Linked DNA regions of Struthio camelus. Each later gene encodes a partner of the first gene's protein in a complex. Links are inferred from orthologs where the notes say so. Each region holds a gene or a part of one and is shown on either strand. Other genes may lie near its edges.

Region 1 (12,383 bases):
TTTCTTTTTTACATAAGTTTCCAGTTGCCATTTCTCTGTTGAAATGCTCTGGAGTGGCCCAGGATTCTCCCTTTCTTTCCTGCAGAGCCTCACTACAGGTTGACTCAGACCAAATAGTTGTGCATTTACCTCCTTAAGAGAAGGAACAAAAAGTGACAACTTTTTATGATGAAATAACAGATTGACACAAATCTCTGGGGTTGCAGGCTCATTTTCTTGTGACCTCATCTTTTGGGATTTTTTGCTTTACCATTTTGTTAAAGGTCCAAAGTATTTAAAAAGCTATCTTGCGCAGGATCTAAAATAATTTATAGACTTTTTAGAATTATTCAGAATAATAAATTTAATTAGAATAATATTTTAGATTTTTTATAGAGTTTTTTGGCAGAGAGAACTGATGATGTTCCTTTGCTTGGGATTCATTAGTGAGCCTGGAACACTGTGCATCTCTGCCTACAAACGAGTAATCGAAGAGCAATACACAAGGCATCCCAATGCTTTTTTACAACCCCCCAGTCAGTAGTAGGCTCCAGACTTTTCTTCCAGGCCATCAAACCTGAACCTATGCATTCACATTCTTCTGGAATCCTATTCAGCTGCAGATATTTTCTATATACTGATTCTTTCTGGCAATGTTCATATCAGATTTCAGGGAAGTGAAGATAAACACTTTCATCATTCTGCTTTCTAGGCACTGGCTTTAGCAATCAAAGAGGCAAAACTACAGCATCCCGACATGCTGGTAACCAAAGCTGTGGTATACAGAGAAACAGAACCTTCTCCAGAGGAGAGGGACAAGAAACCTCAGGTAGGTAGAGAAATTACCAGGTATGATTTATACATGCTGTACAAGAGATGTATGTAGCTGTACAAGTACCTCTGTGTATCCCTTATGCCCTATGTTGTGAAACAGCTCAGTGGAGTTCTTTGCAGAAGTTCTTGGACACCAGCACAGTCCTCAATATGACAGTTAGGTGACTGCACAGGCAGAGCATCCCTCATGTCCCAGCTACAGCAGGCTTCAGCATAGCATCCCACTACAGTAGCTTGAGGGATGTGTCTGCTGGTGGGCCCTGAAGGACAGGTACCTGGGAATGGGCAAAGCAGTTCTGTAAGCACTGTTTCTGCCTCTTCCCATGCTATACTGTATGACCCAATTTCTACTCCCTGTGTTTCTGTACTGGCTTTATTGTCCTCCCAAATAAGTTCAGATTTCCTTCCAGGGAACCCTCTGTGGAGTAAAAAGAAAGAATTTATTTTCTCAGTGCATGGGCTTTATTCGCCTCTCTGCTTTAACACGCTGAGGCACATTTCTGCAATTGGCCACAATTAATTTTTGGGACTAACTCTACCAGCTGTAGGTGCTGATAGGAAGGGCTGCTCCAGGGCACTAGGAGTAGCATCTCTTGCACCAGCAATTCCAGTCCAGCCCACTATGATGGCGACCCCCCAGGTGTGGCCACCTAGTTGTGGTTAGAAAGCTGGTGGACATGCCATCAAAAGCAGTGCTCTAGTTGTCACCTTGTTGCCCTGCTCAGTAGAGGAGTCAGAATCATTTGCATGTAAAGGAGGAAGGACCTTCTCATTCCTCCAGGGTAGGGAATGACAGAGGTGATGTCTGTGTTGTGGATAGCCTGAGAAACTTGGTTACTGGTACTGCAAGGCCAATTCCACATATTAGACAAGTATTTGCCAAAATGATTTTTCTAATGGCCATTCAGGTTCCCCAGGCTGTCCCTTTATAAACATGCAGCTGTGCGTACCAGCACACAAGGTTTGCATCTCCCAGCAGATGCCCCAAAGCAGGCACATTTTCACACCCATTTTTCTCCAGGGCAAAGCTGGCTTGAGGAGGCCTGCCCCTACTCTTAACCACTTATTCTTACTTCATGCTGCTCCGTGCTACTCCCCTCAGCTGGATTGGTGCAGCTCTCTCATAGCACTGGTTTTATGTAGGGCAATGTCACAGCCCAACAGACTTTTTTATCAGAGCAACTGAGGGGCAGAGAAGCATGACAGAAAGGAGAAGGGGAGCTTCTGAAGCCAGCTTCACTACTGAAAAATGTAGAAGGAGCTATGTCCCTAGCCAGACTCCAGATGCCTCTTGGAAATGTGATTATGTGTTTCTTGATCCTATGAAGATTTTGACATGCAACTTTTAAGCTTGGAAAAGATGATCACCTCTGTTGTAGATTGGAAGGTCAGAGGAGACTGTTGCATCTGTCTAATCTCATCTCCTTCATAACAGTTACAAACAACCAAGCCCAGTTATTTCTGCATCTTTTAGGAAGCCAACCAGTTTTGATTTAATGGCTAAACATAAGGGAGACTTCAGCAGTGATTCACTGATTCCTTTCCCATACACCAGCACCAGCTCAACGAATTCAAGAGGTTTTTATAATTACCAGAGGTCGTGGTAATCAAGGGCAAAGTTGATTAGTAGCCCGAAAGTGTTTGCAGTTTTATTGTCCAGTGCCCTCATACAAACAGGAGCCCTTTTAGAGCCCAAGAAGCAACAAAGGAAGCACTCCATGACCAGTCCTTTCCATCTGCCTTGTACAGGAATCTTGACCACCATGTTCACAGAAGTTGGCATCTGTATTCAAACCTGGAGAATAGTGAAGAAGGATCCTTCATGCTGGATTTGCCAGCAAGACATAGACATCCTGGCTGCAATGTTCATGGCAAGAGACAAAAATTTTAAAAAAGGAATAGCAAATATATTATATATATATATACACATCAACACACACACACACACACACACACACACACACACACACACACACACATATATATATATATATATATAGAAAAGGAGAAACAAAATGTATCCTTGCACTGCTGCTATATGCTGGAAATGAATTACAAACAGCAACATCAACAACAAACAAAACCGACCATCTTTGCAGATAAATTGAAGAATTTACTGGATTGGTGATAAAATAAAATTAAAAAATCATTATAATAACAATAATATTGTTAACAGTAAAATAAGCCACCATCTTGCATGTTACATAAAAGGATACACAATCTTGAGTTCATTTGTTGCACACTGAATGGAAAGGAAAACTGCTTTGCAACAAAGCAAGAAATAAGCAAAATGAAACAAAAACCACAAGCAGAAGCAAAACCATTCCCCACCTCTGGAAAGAAGAGAGAAACCATTGAGTTGATTACTTTAGAGTTATTTTCCGATTTGGAACGTGTGGTTACACTCTTTTCCTCATTCCGTGCTCGTTCTTTTGCATTTTTGAGGTTCTGTTAATTCTTCCCCTTCTGTTCCTTATCTTCTTCTCTGTGCATTTGTCCAAGCTCTTGTTCTCTGAAAGTATTTAGGAATGGATTTCATTTCAAACAAAGCAAATTATATGTATATGGTTTCTCATTTATAAAATTGCAGCCTGTAGGGGTTTCATATGGATGTGCATTTAAGTTATGTATATTATTATATATAACAAGGGGGGAGGGGGGAACAATATTAAAATAATTCAACAGTGCTGGTAAATATGATGACAACATTTTTAAATTATTAACTATTTGATTGACTGTGGTTGATGTATTTTGAGACTCTTAGATCATGCTTGGGACTCTTAGCCCCGCAAGAAGAGAATAGGGATGGTTTGAGCCTCTTCTGTTTTGGAGGGGAAGGGCAGAGGGAGAAAGATGAGACACATCCCACTGGCTGATCCGTGTGGCCGCAGGAGGGCTGTTTTTGGTGCCGTGGTATATGTGGTGTGTGGAATTGGTTGGTCAACGGCAAGTTGGAGGGGCAAGGAAGGAGGGTCAGGCTGCCGTTCCTGTGGCCCAGGTGCTAGGCAGGAATGTCACCTGGCCCCAATCCAAAGACACCGGAGTCTCAGCTGGGATCAAGCTGGCAGCATGGTCTTAGCTCCTCTCCAGCCCACTGAGCCATGATGATTGTTGGGGTTGTTTTGGTTTGTTTCTGGACCCCAGTAATGAAGTTACAGAAGCTTTGTAGTAGGAAGGGTTAGAGGCAAAGAGGAGTCATTTTTTCCCTGCTTCCCCCGCAGGCCAGGTGCAATGGTGAGGGCTGCCCAGGGCACTGTGTGCTACATGATGGTGATGGCAGGAGTGATGCCAGTCCTTCCTCCATCCTTGCCTCCAGGTGCTACTGAGGGACAGGCAGTGGAGAGACCACATTGTCTCCATCACTGCACGAGTGCCCTGAGTGTACAAGCCTGGATGGCAGAGTCCAGGCCCTCCACATAAGATGGCCCATGTTGAGGAGATGTCAGTGCAGCTGCCTTTCCCACAACTCATCACAGCTCGGCCTTTAGCAACAGGCTTCCTCTGTGGCTGCCTTTAGAAGGGGATTATGGGCCAAGGCCAGGGCCTTGTACACTGTGAACCAGGCAGTTAGGGTGGACTTGGAACCAAAATCAGGAAGGAAAAGAAATAAATGGGTTTCCTTTTTGGAATTATCCCTACCTCCTGCAGAAGCAGAAGGGCCCACAATTCTGCACCATTTTGCCTTTAGTCCTCCACGCCTCACGCAGACTGTGCCCAGAATAGGTGCATTTTATCAGTTCCAGCAATGGATCTGAGGATAATACTAAACAAGAAGAATTTAAGCCATTATGGGGGTATACTTCGCTCACTGAGTTTCCTTAGGAGAGAGCCTGGTCTCTGGCAGTCTTGGTCTGCCAGTTACTTGCTATTATGTCCCCATGAAGTCTGTTCTCCTTATGGCATATAAGATTCTTCTACAAGCATTAAAGACAGGCTTCTTCAGAAGTGAATAGACGTGCTGGCTAATGCCAATGAAGATCATTTCAGGTTTCTAATGAGTTCAGTCATGTAGTCTCCCCCCAGATTCTGCCTGAGTGCTTTCAGTTGCTTGTAACTTGCTGCTTTTAGAGACCAGACCCCAAACCAGAAAGAGTTAAGGCAATTGTAGAGAGAATTGCGTTTTTTCTCTTTTATTTTTAAATACACCCAAAACAGCTGCAAAAAGCAGTCACACTTTCTGAAAGAGATACCAATTGAGAGAGGACCTGTTCTCAGTGCCTGTACAGGGCATTCAGCCCATCTTGCCCATTAGCAATGGTCCACACATCACGTTGGTTGTTTTTCAGCACGCTTTGTATTTCAAATCCAAAGGAGGCTCTCTGTGGATTTGGTACTGTTACAACTGAACTACAGGCTACTTTGAAACTGGATACCTGGTTTTGAAATCACACATGTGGTTATAAAATCTAAGGTAACTGTTAACATTAGTAGCCTTAGACAATTATAGAATTGATGTGAAATTAGACTCAAACTATTTACATTTAGAGTTAAGAAAAAAAACCCAGTAAGTGGATCCAGTTTCCTTGCTTCCACAGCTTGTTTAATGGGTGACAACATTTAAAAATAAAAAAAAAAGAAAAAAGTTTGTTTCTTGTTCATCTGGGAAAGTGTGGGATTCTGCTGTTTAGTAGTGACTAACATCCCTTATGGGCCTGGCTCTCTCCCAGCCTGCCCTTCACATTACTGCCATTTCAGAGAGCTAATCACCATTTGTTTTCTTCCAAGGGCCTTTGTGTTGAAAGGGGTGGGAGAACTGAGTGCCTGTTTTTACCTGATCCTACAAATTCATTCCAAACCTGGCCTGCAACTGCATGAGTAATAATGACAATAACAATAATAATATTTATTTTTATTTGAAAAGCACCTTACCAACCAACTGCAATGCTCTGTTGTTCCTTCACTAACTCTCCTTTTCTCTTCCCTTGTTCTTCTTCTCCCTCCTGCCTTCAGTCATATTCCTTTTCAGTGCTTGGTGGTGTATGCGTGTGTGCTCACTGTTCTTGTATTCAATAAAAGTGAAATAAATGTGTTTGATGCTGAACCAGCTTGTGGCATGAAGTGGACTCTTTCCCGCAAAGAGAATGGACAGATTAAGGTAGGGGCCTTGGGACCAGGGTCTCTGTCTGTTAAAATATTGGACTCTTCCCTGTGTCGTCCTAGAAAATGAAGCAGATGCCAGTTATGGGTATGGCACACTGCTGGGGAGAAGGATGGAAGAAAGCTGTGTATTTTTCACACTGTATCTACTAACCATCATCTGTTTGCCTGAGGCAGCAAACTCAGGACTGCCAGTAGGTAGATTATGAAGGTGTTCAAAATACACAGAGACTAGGGCTGCATTTGTCCCTGACTTTTGTCTTTGGATCCTGGTAGGATTCTGGGCCTTGCAGACCAGGTAGGAGGGAGGTGATGGCTCCTGCTGCTGGGTGCCTGTGACACCCAAGTGAGAGATGTCCTTTTGTTACTGTGCTGCCACGTGACATTTCTGCAGGTGTGGGGTGAAAAACAATCTCTTTGTCTAACAGAAGCTCAGATTTTGCAGGGATAAAAGCTAAGATTTTTCAAAGATGCTGCCAAGCTGCATCCCCACCACCTGGGGCTTGACCTGCCCCTGCCCCTGCAGGCAGGATTAGGCTGGGGCTAGAGGAGAGGGACTGACAGCTGTGGGGGTCTGTGGAGCCGAGGGGAAGCATTGCCAGCTGTGGGGCCCGTGGGGCTGAGGGGAGGGACTGCCAGCCATGGGGTGTTGGGGGGCCAAGGGAGGGACTGCCAGCTGTGGGGTGTTATGGGACCGAGGGGAGGGACTGCCAGAAGTGGGGGTCTGTGGGGCCGAGGAGAGAGGCTGCCAGCTGTGGGGAGCCCGGTAGTAGGAACCAAGGGGAGCGACTTCCCGCGGTGGGGGGCTGTGGGGCAGCGGGCAGGGACGGGCTCCTAGGGCGTCCCTCCGCTGCCCAAACGGGGCCCCGCGCGCCGCAGCGGCTACCCCGGGGGCCTGGCTGGGCGGCGGTGGGACTCGCTCTGGCTGCCGCCGGGCGGGAAGCAGCCGCCGCGCCCGGAACGGGAGCGCCGCGGCGGCGGGGCGGCCCGGACGCTCTTCGGGGAAGGCGCGGTGGGCGGGGCGGGGCGGCGGCGGGTGCAGGCGCTCCGGGGACGGGGGAGGTGAGGCGCGGCGGCAGCGGGGCTTCGGGAGGTCGCGCGGCCGGAGCGCTGCGGGCCGGTAGCGCGCTTGGGCCTGGTTGCGGCGGTCGCGACCTGCGGGCCGGGTGAGACTAGGCCAAGCCTGCCCGAGCGGTTCCCAGGTGGCCTGGGGACCCGTGTGTCTGCGCTTGTCCCCTGCTGTGCTCCCGCCGGGCTCCATGGCGGCAGTGCAGCTGGACCCCGAGTTGGCCAAGAGGCTCTTCTTTGAAGGCGCCACGGTCGTCATCCTGAACGTGCCCGAGGGCACCGAGTTCGGCATTGACTACAACACCTGGGACGTCGGCCCCCGCTTCCGCGGAGTCAAGATGATCCCTCCAGGCATCCATTTCCTCCACTACAGCTCTGTCAGGGGAGCTAGTAGCCGGGAAACAGGGCCGCGCACAGGTTTCTTCCTAAGCCTGCAGCAGCGAGACTTGCGGGTGCTGCGCTGGAACCCCACCAACGAGGAAGTGGATCTTACGCCAGCAGTCCAGGAGGAGACTGAAGCCATGAGAGGAAATCTGCAGGAGATGGACAAGTTTCTTGGGCCCTATCCGTATGAGACCCTGAAAAAATGGATTTCCCTCACCAACTTCATCAATGAGTCGATGATGAAGAAGCTGCAACCAGAGAGTGGGCAGATCTGTGCCTTTTCAGAAGTTCTCCCTGTGCTGGCTGGGAAGCACACCAAAGACCGTGCTGAACAGAACTTGCCCCCTTATGACACAGAATGCAAGAGCTATGCTGAAGGTATGGCACGGCTGCCCAAGATGAAACTGAAAGCTGGCACTGAGATCAGATTCACAGAGCTGCCAAAGCAGATGTACCCCGATGGTGCTACTCCTGAGGAGATAACCAGGCATAGCATGGACCTTAGCTATGCTCTAGAAAAAGTGATTGATCAGCAGTACTCCAGCCAACCTCAGGATTTGCTTGGTGAGTACATAGTATCCCAGTTGTAGAGTCCTTATTCACTTTGAAAGAATTAAGTTTTTGGCTGTAAAGCAAGAGTCCTCAGGTGAAACCTGCAGTTCTGTTGACCTTAAAGGCTCAGGGCATAAGTGTGCTCTTATAATTGTGACTATACAAAACAGTTTATACAAGCTACAAAGTCTGAGTAGCTATAGGGTCTATTCCAGTTGCCCTGATGCAAGAATCTGGACACTCTTTTGCTCAATATCTAGAGTGACTAGCCTGCCTCACTAGCCACTTTTGTTCCTGGCTGCTGCAGTAACATGTTTGGAACCCAAATTGCCTCAGATTAATTCAAAAGCATAAATCCCAGTTTATGAACTGAGATGTGTTTGTGAATTCACCCTTGTGCATGGAAGGCACATCACGTTGCGTCTAATGCAAGTACATTTTTTTCTGTGGTGCCATCCTGATGATTTATCTATCAAGTGATCCTCTAAGGACAGAGTTTAGGGAGTCCTGAGACCACTGAATGGGATGGGACATCTTAATCTTTAGATTCTTGTTCCCTTTTTGCCAGCAACTCAACTTTTGGCTTTTGGGGTGAGTTGTTTTGCCTTTTAGGCCTCCAATTCACTTTGTATAGTTTAGGGATAATGATGCTTCTGTGCCTTGTGGATTTTTATTTTTTAGGCTTGATGTTTTCAAAGAAGGTCTCAAAGGTTTGCAAAGTAATTTACAGCAGGTGAAGAATGAGCTGTGCACTAGAGAGGCAGCTCTCCTTCTTAAATGTCTCTGGCTGTCCGTTTTACCCTCTTTCTGGCTGTCCGTTTTACCCTCTTTGTTCTATTCAGTACAGTCTATTTCCTTCAAACCCTTCTGCTCGCCCACCTTATAATTTGGTCCTACTCTGCTCATCCTCACTGATGGCTTTTCAGTAAACTGAGTAACCAAAAATGATTCTTTTACTAAATGCTACTTTGACTGTTGGTGAATACAACTGTCATGGAAGAGTTGATCTTTGTGGGGAGGGAGCAGCCTGTGCAGATAGCAGTGAAAGTACTAACTATAGCTAGAACAGAATGGATAATTCTAAATATAAGCTGTCAATGAAGTGTACAGATGCCAGTCAGTTAAGTGAGTTTTAGTACTCTGATAGTACATTTCCCAGCAGTCAGTTCCTAACACAGTAACTAATCAGCAGGATGGGCCTTTCCTTCTACTCTGGTTAGAGGCGGAGGAAGGTGGGAAGTCTCTGCTGTGGGCTGCTGGCGACCCTCTGTGGTAGCATTTGGGATTTGTGAGCTCTACTGCAGGAGGGCGAAACATGCAGTGTTCATGGGCACACTGTGAACTGCATCTCTCAGTTACAGGGTCTTAATTACTTGCCAGCCTCATTTAACAGCTTGTGATACAAATTAGTAACAGCTCTGTGAAGATCCTTGAATGCATTTTCCGTGTGGCAGGATGGAGTGAGGACTTGGGAAACTAGCTGATCTAGAGCCTCAAGGTTACTGAGGTTTGGAATAAGCCTTTATTTTCCCCTTTTTTCTTTATTAACTTTATACAATTTATTCTTTATCAAAAGTATTCTAGGAGATGCAAAGACTAATTACCGTAAGGGTGTGTAAGGTTCCCTAGTGCCTTGGGGAATGGTGAGGCCATCATTCTGGCAAAACAGCTGATGCTGAGCATCAAGTGAGATTGAACCCTGACTCTTAATTCAGTGAAGGAAAAACAACCATTATGTACTGCTCACCTCGTTCTTTGTTCCCACACCCCTCTGTTCAAGGGCAATCTGATTTTGGAAACTCAGGCATAAAAGGAGCTTTCAGAATAACAGCTTTATTTTCTCATTTGGACATCATAGAAGATTTTGAGAATGCAGGCAAGTCCTGAGGTAGCTATATGCTCTGATTGCCAGTAAAGTCACTCTCCAAAGTTGACCATTATAGTTTTAAGGGGTCCTGCCTGATCGTGCTATGCTTGTTCTCCAGCTGAATAGCAGAGCATTAGGAAATAGTCAGTGCTTGGAGTATTGATTGCTATTATCAGAGTCACTGGGAGGATAGGGTACTGTTCATGTGTAAAAGGCAATCCCAGAGTTTATACAGTCATTTTCAGAGCTTTCAAGAGGACATGTACCTTGGATGTGTTTCTAGTCTCATGTGTACTTTGTTTTCCTTTCCTTTGCTAAATGTGTGCAGCTGAGTTGCAATTTGCTTTCATCTGCTTCCTGATTGGGAATGTGTATGATGCATTCGAGCACTGGAAAAGACTCTTAAATATCCTGTGTCGATCTGAAGATGCCATAGGGAAGTATCAAGACCTTTACACCAATCTCATTTCTGTGCTGTATCACCAGCTCAATGAAATCCCAGCTGATTTCTTTGTGGACATTGTCTCCCAGGACAACTTTTTAACCAGCACCTTACAGGTATGTTTGTGGCTGTCACTGTGGGTGACTTAAAAAAAAAAAAAAAAAAAAAAAAAAAAAAAAAAAAGTGGGGGGGGGAGTAGGAGGAGAGGGCATACAGGACATCAGAGCAAATTTTCAAAAGGAAGTAAGCTGCTATTGATCTGCATAGGAGACAGTGAGTCTATGTGTTCTAAGAATGCTCATATTTTCTTTTATTTTTTTCCCCCACGTTCTTTACACAGAAATACTGCTTGCTTGTCCTGAGTTTTATCTGCTAAAGTTATGCCCAGAAGAGTCTAATGCAGCATAAATTTAAGTTAGTCTCTATAGAAAGGCCAGCAAAGTGAGACAATGAGAGGAAAGACTAATGAAAATATAAATAGCTGCAATATGGAATGGAGGCTCTGTCTTTTTTTTTTTAGTATGATTTCCTGGCAAATAATGCTGAAAGTAGACTATCACATTGACATGGCATGGATCTGTTCTAGAGTTCTGGAATAGTGTATGTAACGCAATTGAATTGCACCAGCATACCTTTTCTAAAAATGTCTAAGGTCTTAGGCTACATAAACAGCTATGGGAGAGGCTGAGCAAGTGCAAGGCAAGGTCTTTTTATGTGTTTTTTCCAAATGCCATTCATTCTATATGTATGTATATGTGTGTATATATATTTGTGTGTGCCATAAAAGACTGGCAATATTGACTTTGGTCAGCTTGAATGGTATGATATTTTGTATGCAGAGAAGTTTCAGTGAAACCTTTTTGAGCTTAGGGTGTTGATAGTATGTTAAAAGCTTTTCCATTCCTGTTAGCCTTATGTAAAGCTAAAGATTTCCCAGAATCACGTTCTTATCTAGAGGGAATTTACAGGTAGTCCAGAATGTAGAAAATACACTGCTTATGCTGAGATAGGTGTGGCAAATATTTATAATTCAGTACTAGTAAGACCAGTTACTCCCACTCACTGAAATTATGCTAACAGCTCAGCAAATAGACAAGTCTTATAGCTAAGCCAAATTCAGTTAAAAATAAAAACAGATATACCCATATAACTCAGCAATGGAAACTTAATCCCAGCATGAAATGTAGTAAGTTATGTTGCAGTGTTTGGTGTAAATTGTATATTGCAATCTCCTTTCTCAAAAACAGTGATTACCTGTAATTCCAAGTTGCTGCTGTAGATCTTTGTTTGTTTGTTTGTTTTTTAAACTCACTGGGTAAAATTAGGTGGGAAGCATTGCTTTAATCAAGTGAATGACTTTACTTGACCGTTATCTGGGCTTTTTCAGATTTGATTCACAAAACTCTTGATTTTTTCATTTTTGTTTCCCCCCCGCCCCCCCACATCCCATTTTGGGATTGGAAAATCCAGCTCTATTTTTAGCACGCTGGCAGAGCAACGCTTTGCCCTATCAAATTACAACAGTACAAAAGAATGTGTCAACCAGCCACTCTTTCCATCTGATGGAAATTTTGGAAGCACCTTTGTCTCTCTGATTATCTTACCTTTTTGGGCAACTAAGCCTTGTGTGCTCTTGGAGTTCATCAGTCTTTATCTTTTATTTATGCAATAGAGGCTGATGCCTTTAGTGTGGCTGTGTTGGTTTCACTGATCACCACTAACCGCAGTGGGGGTCACTGCATTCCCAGCAACATAGAAGAAATTTATGGTTTAAATAGGCCTCTCCTTGCTAAAAGTTCTCCTGTTCTCTGCACCAGTGGGATTTCCCTGATTGTTGCTTTGTGTATGACCATTTCAAAACAAACTTTGCTTTTCCTTTTCAGTATTTTCTCCAGCTGTCAGTAGACTTCTACCAAATACAAGCTTGCTTTGTCCCAAAGGGGTTTCCCTTCACTTCAGTCCTGCAATGAATTTTTCTTTGGCTTTGAAACATAAATTTCTTTCTATGGAAATGAATTTTGGGTCACAAGTTCAGTACACTAGCAGAAGCAGGCAGGTGAGAGATGGGCTCTGAGGCTAAATGCCCTGTTTAATCAGACATGGATGCTTTAATTCTCCAAAATGCAAACAGGAAGCTATGAATTTGTGAAAAGTTAATGG
Region 2 (12,026 bases), on another chromosome or scaffold:
ACCTGGGACCCCAAGGGGGGGGGACACCTGGGACCTGCATGGGGGGGGACCCCTGGGACCTGCATCTGGGGGGGGGGACACAGCTGGGACCTGCATGGGGGGGACCCCTGGGACCTGCATCTGGGGGGGGGACACACCTGGTCCCCGGACACCTGGGCCCCTGGTGGGGGGGATGCCTGGCCCCCATGGGGACACCTGGGCCCTGGACGGGGAGACCCCGGGGAGGGGGACCCCTGGGTCCCGGATGCCTGGGACCAGAGGGGTGGGGGGCAGTGCGGGGGGGGCCGGACGCCTGGGCCCCCTGTGCTGACCCCCCCCTCCCCCCCGCAGCAAGCCTTCTGGTGCCTGGTGCAGATCTGCGAGAAATACCTGCCCGGCTACTACAGCGCCGGCCTGGTGCGGGGCCGGGGGGGGCCGGGGGGGCTCTGGAGTGCTATGGGGGGATAGGGGAGTCATGGGGGGCCGGGGGAGCGGGGGGCCTGGGGGGGCTGGGGGGGTTATGGGGGGCTGTAGGGGGTGCTGGGGGGCAACGGGGGCTGCTGGGGGCTGATGGGACACATGGGGGGGCTGCAGGGGCTTGTGTGCTGCTGGGGGGGTGCCGTGGGGCGCCGTGGGGTGCTGTGGGGCGCCGTGCATGGCCGTGGGGCGCCGTGGGGAGCCGTGGGGCACCGTGCACGGCCGTGGGGCGCCGTGGGGCGCACTGACCCCCCCCCGTGCCCCCCCCGGTGCAGGAGGCGGTGCAGCTGGACGGGGAGGTGTTCGGGGCGCTGCTGCGGCGGGCGCTGCCGTGGGGCGTCGTGCACGGCCGTGGGGTGTCGTGCATGGCCGTGGGGCGTCGTGCACGGCCGTGGGGCGTCGTGCATGGCCGTGGGGCGCCGTGGGGCACCGTGCACGGCCGTGGGGCGCCGTGGGGCGCACTGACCCCCCCCCGTGCCCCCCCCGGTGCAGGAGGCGGTGCAGCTGGACGGGGAGGTGTTCGGGGCGCTGCTGCGGCGGGCGCTGCCGTGGGGCGTCGTGCACGGCCGTGGGGCACCGTGCACGGCCATGGGGCGCCGTGGGGCGCCGTGCACGGCCGTGGGGCGCCGTGGGGCGCACTGACCCCCCCCGTCCCCCCCCCCCGGTGCAGGAGGCGGTGCAGCTGGACGGGGAGGTGTTCGGGGCGCTGCTGCGGCGGGCGCTGCCGTGGGGCGTCGTGCATGGCCGTGGGGCACCGTGCACGGCCGTGGGGCACCGTGGGGCACCGTGCACGGCCGTGGGGCACCGTGCATGGCCGTGGGGCGCCGTGGGGCGCACTGACCCCCCCCCGTCCCCCCCCCGGGTGCAGGAGGCGGTGCAGCTGGACGGGGAGGTGTTCGGGGCGCTGCTGCGGCGGGCGCTGCCGTGGGGCGTCGTGCATGGCCGTGGGGCGCCGTGGGGCGTCGTGCACGGCCGTGGGGCGCCATGGGGCGCACTGACCCCCCCCCCGTCCCCCCCCCGGTGCAGGAGGCGGTGCAGCTGGACGGGGAGGTGTTCGGGGCGCTGCTGCGGCGGGCGGCCCCCGCGGCCCACCGGCACCTGCGGCGCTGGCGCGTGGAGCCCGTCCTCTACCTGACCGAGTGGTTCATGTGCATCTTCGCCCGCAGCCTGCCCTGGGCCGCCGTCCTGCGCGTCTGGGACATGTTCTTCTGCGAGGGTGCGGGGGCGCGCGCGGGGGGGACACGCGGGGGCGGGCGCCCGTGCACGGTGCTGCCCGGCCCCGGCGCGGGCGCGTGGTGCACGGGTGACGCGCGTGCACTCCGTCCGTGTGCCGTGCGCGGGGCAGTGAGGCGTGTGCATGATGTGTGCGTGCCGTGTGCGTGGGGCCGTGACGGCTGTGCGTGGCGTGTGCACAGCTGAAGATCATACGTGCAGGGCGGTGACGCATGTGCAGGCATGTCCGTGGCGTGTGCATCCCGGGTGGGTGCCATGTGCGGGGGGTGATGCGTGTGCAAGTGTGTGCAGGCGTGTGCAGGCGTGTGCGGTGCCGCATGCGTGGTGATGCATGTGCAGGCGTGTGCAGGCGTGTGCATGCAGGTGTGCGCGGTGACGGGTGCACAGGCGTGTGCAGGCGTGTGCAGGCATGTGCATGCAGGCGTGCGCAGTGACGCGTGTCCGTGGCATGTGCAGGTGTGTGCAGGCATGCGTGGTGACGCGTGTGCAGGCGTGTGCAGGCGTGCGCGGTGATGTGTGTGCAGGCGTGTGCAGGTGTGTGCAGGCGTGTGCAGGCGTGTGCATGCAGGCGTGCGTGGTGACGGGTGCACAGGCATGTGCAGGCGTGTGCAGGTGTGTGCATGCAGGCGTGCGCGGTGACGCGTGTGCAGGCGTGCGCAGGCGTGCGTGGTGACGCGTGTGCAGGCGTGCGTGGTGACGTGTGCAGGCGTGCGCAGGCGTGTGCATGCAGGCGTGCGCGGTGACGCGTGTGCGTGTCCGTGGCGTGCGCAGGCGTGAAGGTCATGTTCCGCGTGGGGCTGGTGCTGCTGCGCCGGGCGCTGGGCTCCCCCCAGCAGCTCCGCGGCTGCCAGGGGATGTACGAGACCATGGAGCGGCTGCGGGGGCTGCTGGCCGCCGGCCTGCCCGAGGACGCCCTGGTGCACGAGGTGGGCGCGGGGGGGGCGCGGGGGGGCGCGGGGGCGCGGGGGGCCACAGGCGTGGGGAGCCGTGGGGCAGCAGGCGTGGGGAGCCGTGGGGCAGCAGGCGTGGGGCGGCGTGGGGCCGTGGGGCAGCGTGGAGCCGTGGGGCGGCGTGGGGGGCCGTGGGGGGGTGTGGGGCCGCAGGCGTGGGGCCGTGGGGCAGCGTGGAGCCGTGGGGCGGCGTGGGGCCACAGCCGTGGGGCGGTGTGGGGCGGCATGGGGCCGTGGGGAGCCGTGGGGCCGCAGGCGTGGGGAACCGTGGGGTGGCGTGGGGGTGTGGGGCCGCAGCCGTGGTGCTGTGGGGCGGCGTGGGGCCATGGGGCGGTGTGGGGCGGCAGGCGTGGGGCGGCGTGGAGCTGTGGGGCAGCGCGGGGAGCCGTGGGGTGGCGCGGGGCGGCAGGCGTGGGGCCGTGGGGCGGCGTGGGGCAGTGTGGGGCAGCAGCTGTGGGGCGGCGCGGGGCGGTGGGGAGCCGTGGGGAGCCGTGGGGCGGCGTGGGGCGGCGCGGGGCGGCGCAGGGAGCCGTGGGGAGCCGTGGGGCGGCGTGGGGCGGCGCGGGGAGCCGTGGGGCGGCGCGGGGAGCCGTGGGGAGCCATGGGGCGGCAGGCGTGGGGCCGTGGGGAGCCGTGGGGCAGCGCGGGGCGGCGCGGGGAGCCGTGGGGAGCCGTGGGGAGCCGTGGGGAGCCGTGGGGCGGCAGGCGTGGGGCGGTGGGGCGGCGCGGGGCGGCGCGGGGACGCCGAGGTGCCGGCGGGCCGCAGGCGACGTCGCTGCCGGTGACGGAGGCGCTGATCGAGCGGGAGAGCGGGGCGCAGCTGCGGCGCTGGCGGGAGACGCGGGGCGAGCTGCAGCGCCCGCCGCCCCGGCGCCTGCACGGGGCCCGCGCCATCCTGGAGGAGCGGCAGCGCCGGGGGGGCCCCCCCGCCGCCCCCCCCCGCCGGGAGCCGGCGCCCGGCACGGAGGGGCGCCCGGAGCAGAGGCACCGGCTGGAGGCGCGCAAGGAGGGGTTGCACGAAGGGCAGACGTGCAAGGAGCGGTTGCACGAGGTGGAGACGTGCAAGGAGCGGTTGCACGAAGGGCAGACGTGCAAGGAGCAGTTGCACGAGGCGGAGGCGTGCAAGGAGCGGTTGCACGAGGCGGAGACGTGCAAGGAGCAGTTGCACGAGGTGGAGACGTGCAAGGAGCAGTTGCACGAGGTGGAGACGTGCAAGGAGCGGCTGCACGAGGCGGAGGCGTGCAAGGAGCGGTTGCACGAAGGGCAGACGTGCAAGGAGCAGTTGTACAAGGTGGAGACGTGCAAGGAGTGGTTGCACGAAGGGCAGACGTGCAAGGAGCAGTTGTACAAGGTGGAGACGTGCAAGGAGTGGTTGCATGAGGCGGAGACGTGCAAGGAGCAGTTGCACGAGGCGGAGACGTGCAAGGAGCAGTTGCACGAAGGGCAGACGTGCAAGGAGTGGCTGCACGAGGTGGAGACGTGCAAGGAGCAGTTGCACGAGGCGGAGACGTGCAAGGAGCAGTTGTACAAGGTGGAGACGTGCAAGGAGCGGTTGCACGAGGCGGAGACGTGCAAGGAGCGGTTGCACGAGGTGGAGACGTGCAAGGAGCAGTTGCACAAGGTGGAGACGTGCAAGGAGCAGTTGCACGAGGTGGAGATGTGCCAGGAGCGGTTGCACGAAGGAGAAGAGTGCAATGAACAATTGCACAAAGTGGAGGAGCGCCAGGAGCAATTGCACAAGACAGAAGAGCGCCAGGAGCGGCTGCACGAGGCGGAGACGTGCAAGGAGCAGTTGCACGACAAGCAGACGTGCCAGGAGCGGTTGCGCGAAGGAGAAGAGTGCGATGAACAATTGCAGGCAGCGCAGGAGCCCCAGGAGCAGCTGCCCAAAGCAGGGGAGCGCAACGAGCGCTTGCACAAGACAGAAGAGCGCCAGGAGCGGTTGCACGAGGCGGAGACGTGCAAGGAGCGGTTGCACGGGCCGGAGGGGCCCCAGGAGCGGCAGCGGGCGGCGCAGGGGTCCCGGCAGCGGCCGGCGGCCAGGGGGCTGCTGGAGAAGTGCCGGCAGCGGCTGCAGGGCAAGGGGGCGGCAGCGGCCCCCGAGAAGGCGCCATCGAAGCGGCCGGCGCGGAAGGCGGCGGCGGCGGCAGCGGCGGCACCAGGGGCGGCCGGGGACCGGGACCCCCCCGGGCGGCAGGACGCCTACTTCTGAGCCAGGTGGGAGTTGCCTCCGTCCGTCCCTCCATCCGTCCATCCCTCCCTCCATCCCTTCGTCCGTCCCTCCATCCATCCGTCCGTCCATCCCTCCGTCCCTCCCTCCATCCCTCCATCCATTCCTCCGTCCGTCCCTCCGTCCATCCCTCCCTCCATCCCTCCATCCATTCCTCCCTCCGTCCCTCCCTCCATCCCTCCATCCATCCGTCCGTCCATCCCTCCGTCCATCCCTCCGTCCATCCATCACTCTGCCCCTCCATCCCTCCATCCCTCCGTCCCTCCCTCCATCCCTCCATCCATTCCTCCCTCCGTCCGTCCATCCCTCCCTCCATCGCTCCAGCCGTCCCTCCATCTGTCCATCCCTCCGTCCCTCCGTCCGTCCATCCCTCCGTCCATCCCTCCCTCCAGACGCCCCCGGGATGGACGGCTCGGTTTGATCGGCAGCTGCCTTTGATTGACAGCTTGCTTTGATCGGCAGCTCTGGTTGACTGACAACTGCCTTTGATTGGCGGCTCCCTTCATTGGCAGCTGCCTTTGATTAATGATTCCCGCTGATTGACAGCTGCTTTTCACTGCTGGCTCCATTTGATTGACAGCTGCCATTGATTGACAGCCGCTGTGGGTGGCAGTTACCTTTGATTGACAGCTGCCTTTGATTGACAGTTGCGTGTGGTTGGCTGCCACCTTTGATTAGTGGATTGCATTGATTGACAGCTGCCTTTGATTGGCAGCTGCCGTTCATGCATGTGACCGCCGGCTTCGGAGTGACGCCCTGCCCAGCCTTTGATTGACACCCTCATTGGATTGATGGCTCCCTTTGATTGACAGGCCACCCCACCTTTGATTGACAGCTCCCCTTGATTGACAGCTCCCCATCCATCAACTCGCCGGCCTGCCTCCGGTTGACGGCTCCTGCGATTGATTGACAGCTCCTGGGATTGATCGATGGCTCCTGGGATTGATCGATGGCTCCTGGGATTGACCGCTCCTGCGATTGATTGACAGCTCCTGCGATTGATTGACAGCTCCTGGGATTGATCGATGGCTCCTGGGATTGATCGATGGCTCCTGGGATTGACCGCTCCTGTGATTGATTGATGGCTCCTGTGATAGACAGCTCCTGTGATTGATTGACAGCTCCTATGATTGACACTCCGGGCCCGGTGCCCCCCTCCCCCCCCGGGGCTGCCCGGACGCCTGGGCCCCCTCCTCCCCCCCCCCAGCGCTTATTTAACGGGACGACACTGGACCCCCCCCCCCCCGGACGCCCCTCGTTAGCGGCGGGTCGTTAGCGCCCCCCGTTCCGGGGGGGCTGCGGCTTTGTGGCTTCGTTTGAAGGAAAAAACAGCGAGACGGGGTTAACGAGGAGCCCCCAAACGAGCGGCCCGGCCCCGAGTCGTCCTTGGGGGCTGCGGGGGCGGTTTGGGGGGGCAGGAGCGGGGGGGGCTGAGGGAAACGGGGGATTTGGGGGGGGAAGGGGCGTTTTGGGGGGTCCCAGGCGGTTCGGGGGGGCAGGAGTGGGGGGGGCTGAGGGAAACGGGAGATTTGGGGGGGAAAGGGGTGTTTTGGGGGGTCCCAGGCGGTTCGGGGGGGCAGGAGCGGGGAGGGCTGAGGGAAACGGGAGATTTGGGGGGAAAGGGGCGTTTTGGGGGGTCCCAGGCGGTTCGGGGGGGCAGGAGCGGGGGGGGCTGAGGGAAACGGGGGATTTGGGGGGGAAAGGGGCGTTTTGGGGGGTCCCAGGCGGTTCGGGGGGGCAGGAGCGGGGGGGGCTGAGGGAAACGGGGGATTTGGGGGGGGAAGGGGCGTTTTGGGGGGTCCCAGGCGGTTCGGGGGGGCAGGAGTGGGGGGGGCTGAGGGAAACGGGAGATTTGGGGGGGAAAGGGGTGTTTTGGGGGGTCCCAGGCGGTTCGGGGGGGCAGGAGCGGGGAGGGCTGAGGGAAACGGGAGATTTGGGGGGGAAAGGGGCGTTTTGGGGGGTCCCAGGCGGTTCGGGGGGGCAGGAGCGGGGGGGGCTGAGGGAAACGGGGGATTTGGGGGGGAAAGGGGCGTTTTGGGGGGTCCCAGGCGGTTCGGGGGGGCAGGAGCGGGGGGGGCTGAGGGAAACGGGGGATTTGGGGGGGGAAGGGGCGTTTTGGGGGGTCCCAGGCGGTTCGGGGGGGCAGGAGCGGGGGGGGCTGAGGGAAACGGGGGATTTGGGGGGGGAAGGGGCGTTTTGGGGGGTCCCAGGCGGTTCGGGGGGGCAGGAGCGGGGGGGGCTGAGGGAAACGAGGGATTTGGGGGGGGAAGGGGCGTTTTGGGGGGTCCCAGGCGGTTCGGGGGGGCAGGAGCGGGGGGGGCTGAGGGAAACGAGGGATTTGGGGGGGGAAGGGGCGTTTTGGGGGGTCCCAGGCGGTTCGGGGGGGCAGGAGTGGGGGGGGCTGAGGGAAACGGGAGATTTGGGGGGGAAAGGGGTGTTTTGGGGGGTCCCAGGCGGTTCGGGGGGGCAGGAGCGGGGGGGGCTGAGGGAAACGGGGGATTTGGGGGGGGGGAAGGGTGGGTTTGGGGGTCTCCCAGGCGGTTTGGGGTGGTTTCAGGAGGAAATGGAGGGCTGGGGGTGGCTCGGGGTGTTGAGGGGGGTTTGGGGGGGGAAGGGAGTTTTGGGGGATCCCGGGGGAAATGGGGGTCACGTGGGGCTGGGGGGGCAGGGCCAGGGTGGGTGGGGGAGGAAATGGGGTCGCGGCCCCTTTAAGAGCTGCCCACACTGCCCGCCGGCGCTGAAGCCGCAGTCCTGCCCGGGCCGTGACGCCACTTCCGCCCTGCCGCCCGCCCTGCCCCGGAAGTGCTTCCGTCGCGGTAGCGCAGCCACCGGCGGGGCCGCGGGGTGAGCGGCCCGCGCGCGCCTTACCGGGGGTGGGGGGGTGGGGGGGGTTCATTTACATATTCAAATGAGGCACCCCGCGGCGCCCCTGGGAGCCGCCCCCTGGGGGGCGGTTTTGGGGGGGTTTGGGGCAGTTTAGGGGGCGGCCCAGAGCCCGGGGGGAGCCGGGACCCCACGGCCGAGTCGGGGAGCTTCGAGGGGTCCCCGTGGGCGGCGGCGGGTGGCGAGCGCCGCCAGTCGCCGTGGCCTGGGGGCGGGGGGGAGGGGCTTTAGTATGGGCGTGGCGAGCGCGGCTCATTTGCATATGCAAATAGGAGGTGTGTTAACGGGGGGTTAATGGGGGGGGACGATGGGGTTAAGAGCGGGCTGGTGGGGGCCTTAATGGGGGGGGGGTCAAGGGGGCTGTTAACGGGGGTTATTGGGGGCAGTTAATGAGCTGCTGGGGATTAACGGGCCTTAATGGGGCAAACGGGGGCTACTGGGGGGGAATGGGGAGCTAATGAGGGCCAGGGGGCAGTTAACGGGGGCTGCTACTGGGGGGTCACTGGGAGTCACTGGGAGCTGTTAGTGGGGGTTACTGGGGGCTGGTAATGGGGGTCACTGGGGGCTGGTAGTGGGGTGGTTACTGGGGGTCACTGGGGGCTGGTAGGGGGGGTCACTGGGGGTGACTGGGGGCTGGTAGTGGGGGGTTACTGGGGGTCACTGGGGGCTGGTAGTGGGGGGTTACTGGGGGTGACTGGGGGCTGGTAGGGGGGTCACTGGGGGCTGGTGGCGGAGGCTGTTCGTGGGGCTAACGAGGGGCCACGGGGGCGTCGCTAACGAGGGGCCGTTAACGGAGCTGCGTGCCCCCCCCCCCCCAGCATGGCCAAGCGCAAGGTGACGTTCGAGGACCCCGAGGACGAGGAGGAGCCGGGGCCCCCCCGCAAGAGGGTGAGGGGCTGGGGGGCACCGGGGGGGGCCAGGGGCTGCTGGGGGGCACCAGGGGGCTAGTGGGGGCGGCTGGGGGGCACCGAGGGGCAGCTGTGGGGCGCTGGGGGGCAGCCGAACCTGGGGACTGTGCAGGCCCCAGGACCCCTGGGTGAGCTGTGGGGCAGCTGGAGGGTGCCGGGGGGCTGGAGCTGGGGGTTGTGGGGGCCCCAGGGGCTGGGGGGCTGCCGTGGGGGGGGCGTGGGTCGCCGTGGGTCACGGTGGGGCTGACCCACACGGGGGGCGGGGGCCGTGGGTCATGGCGGGGGTCACGGTGGGGCTGACCCACGCAGGAGGCGGGGGCTGTGGGGGGCCGGGGGTCACGGTGGGGCTGACCCACGCAGGAGGCGGGGGCCGTGGGGGGCCGGGGGTCACGGTGGGGCTGACCCACGCAGGAGGCGGGGGCCGTGGGGGGCCCCGGGAGCCGGTTCCCGGGGAAGCACTCGCTGGACAGCGACGAGGAGGACGAGGCCGAAGGCAGCAGCAAGTACGACGTGCTGGCGCCCCACGACGTGGAGGGTGAGCGGGGCGCCGGGGGTCGCCGTGGGGCGGCGGGGGGTGGCCGGGGGTCGCCGTGGGGCGCTGACCCCCGTCTCAGGGCAGGAGGCGGCGACGCTGGAGGCCGAGGGCGGGGTGCCCGTCACCCCCTTCAACCTGCAGGAGGAGATGGCCGAGGGGCACTTCGACTCCGAGGGCAACTACTTCCCGCGGCGCGAGAAGCTGCTCCGGGACAGCTGGCTGGACAACATCGACTGGGTGAGGGGGGACACGGGGACCTGGGGGACACCAGGGACGGGCTGGAGAACCTCGATGGGACATGGGGACACAGCAGGGTGCAGGGACATGGGGGACACCAGGGACAGGCTGGAGAACCTCAATGGGACATGGGGACACAGTGGGATGCAGGGACATGGGGGAACACCAAGGACAGGCTGGAGCACCTCAATGGGACGTGGGGGACATGGTGGAGGATGCCAGGGATAGCTTGGAGCATCTCAATGGGACGTGGGGGACATAGTGGAGGACATGGGGACAGGCTGGAGCACCTCAATGGGACGTAGGGGACACAGGGGACGGGCTGGAGCACATTAATGGGACGTGGGGGACATGGTGGGGGACACCGGGGACGGGCTGGAGCACCTCAACGGGACGTGGGGGACACCAAGGACAGGCTGGAGCACCTCAATGGGACATGGGGGACGTGGTGGAGGACATGGGGACAGGCTGGAGCACCTCAACGGGACGTGGGGGACGTGGTGGAGGACATGGGGACAGGCTGGAGCACCCCAACGGGACGTGGGGGACACCAAGGACAGGCTGGAGCACCTCAATGGGACATGGGGGACATGGTGGGGGACACCGGGGACGGGCTGGAGCACCTCAACGGGACGTGGGGGACATGGTGGAGGACATGGGGACAGGCTGGAGCACCTCAACGGGACGTGGGGGACACCAACGACAGGCTGGAGCACCTCAATGGGACGTGGGGGACATGGTGGAGGACACCGGGGACGGGCTGGAACACCTCAATGGGACGTGGGGGACATGGTGGGGGACACCGGGGGACGGGCTGGAGCACCTCAACGGGATGTGGGGGACATGGTGGAGGACACTGGGGACGGGCTGGAGCACCTCAATGGGACGTGGGGGACATGGTGGGGGACACCGGGGGACGGGCTGGAGCACCTCAACGGGACGTGGGGGACATGGTGGAGGACATGGGGACAGGCTGGAGCACCTCAATGGGATGTGGGGGACACCGGGGACGGGCTGGAGCACCTCAACGGGACGTGGGGGACGTGGTGGAGGACACCGGGGACGGGCTGGAGCACCTCAACGGGACGTGGGGGACATGGTGGAGGACACCGGGGACGGGCTGGAGCACCTCAACGGGATGTGGGGGACATGGTGGGGGACACCGGGGGATGGGCTGGAGCACCTCAACGGGACATGGGGGACATAGTGGAGGACATGGGGACGGGCTGGAGCACCTCAAGGGGACGTAGGGGACACCGGGGACGGGCTGGAGCACCTCAACGGGACATGAGGGACATAGTGGAGGACATGGGGACAGGCTGGAGCACCTCAACGGGATTTGGGGGACACCAAGGACAGGCTGGAGCACCTCAATGGGACGTGGGGGACATGGTGGAGGACACCGGGGACGGGCTGGAGCACCTCAATGGGACGTGGGGGACGTGGTGGGGGACACCGGGGACGGGCTGGAGCACCTCAACGGGACGTGGGGGACATAGTGGAGGACATGAGGACAGGCTGGAGCACCTCAACGGGACGTAGGGGACACAGGGGACGGGCTGGAGCACCTCAATGGGACGTGGGGGACATGGTGGGGGACACCGGGGACGGGCTGGAGCACCTCAACGGGATGTGGGGGACACCGGGGACAGGCTGGAGCACCTCAACGGGACGTGGGGGACATAGTGGAGGACATGGGGACAGGGGACAGGCTGGAGCACCTCAACGGGATGTGGGGGACACCGGGGACGGGCTGGAGCACCTCAACGGGACGTGGGGGACGTGGTGGAGGACATGGGGACAGGCTGGAGCACCTCAATGGGATGTGGGGGACATAGTGGAGGACATGGGGACAGGGGACAGGCTGGAGCACCTCAACGGGATGTGGGGGACACCGGGGACGGGCTGGAGCACCTCAACGGGACGTGGGGGACGTGGTGGAGGACATCGGGGACGGGCTGGAGCACCTCAACGGGACGTGGGGGACATGGTGGGGGACACCGGGGACGGGCTGGAGCACCTCAACGGGATGTGGGGGACACCGGGGACGGGCTGGAGCACCTCAACGGGATGTGGGGGACATGGTGGAGGACACTGGGGACGGGCTGGAGCACCTCAATGGGACGTGGGGGACATGGTGGGGGACACCGGGGGATGGGCTGGAGCACCTCAACGGGACATGGGGGACATAGTGGAGGACATGGGGACAGGCTGGAGCACCTCAATGGGATGTGGGGGACACCGGGGGACGGGCTGGAGCACCTCAACGGGACATGGGGGACGTGGTGGGGGACACCAGGGACGGGCTGGAGCACCTCAACGGGACGTGGGGGACATGGTGGAGGACATGGGGACAGGCTGGAGCACCTCAATGGGATGTGGGGGACACCGGGGGACGGGCTGGAGCACCTCAACGGGACATGGGGGACGTGGTGGGGGACACCAGGGACGGGCTGGAGCACCTCAACGGGACGTGGGGGACATGGTGGAGGACATGGGGACAGGCTGGAGCACCTCAATGGGATGTGGGGGACATAGTGGAGGACATGGGGACACCGGGGGACGGGCTGGAGCACCTCAACCGTTCGCGACCG

The links.
Region 2: AAR2 (region 1) and CD2BP2 share a complex: the UniProt entries of both Homo sapiens proteins name them as parts of the U5 snRNP complex. The link is inferred for Struthio camelus from reciprocal best matches to the Homo sapiens genes AAR2 and CD2BP2.

What each region holds. Positions count from the first base shown.
Region 1 is NC_090959.1:257,292-269,674, forward strand, and holds the start of AAR2 (protein AAR2 homolog), read left to right. Parts: upstream 1-6,933; 5' UTR 6,934-7,169; coding exon 7,170-7,926; intron 7,927-10,109; coding exon 10,110-10,339; intron 10,340-12,383. Other genes in the region: EPB41L1 (band 4.1-like protein 1), read left to right, coding at 692-808, 2,563-2,571. UniProt on the Homo sapiens protein: Component of the U5 snRNP complex that is required for spliceosome assembly and for pre-mRNA splicing.
Region 2 is NC_090973.1:155,247-167,272, reverse strand, and holds the start of CD2BP2 (CD2 antigen cytoplasmic tail-binding protein 2), read left to right. Parts: upstream 1-7,547; 5' UTR 7,548-7,713; intron 7,714-8,570; 5' UTR 8,571-8,571; coding exon 8,572-8,640; intron 8,641-9,071; coding exon 9,072-9,195; intron 9,196-9,274; coding exon 9,275-9,432; intron 9,433-12,026. Other genes in the region: TBC1 domain family member 10B-like, read left to right, coding at 331-396, 1,483-1,672, 2,461-2,615, 3,406-4,851. UniProt on the Homo sapiens protein: Involved in pre-mRNA splicing as component of the U5 snRNP complex that is involved in spliceosome assembly.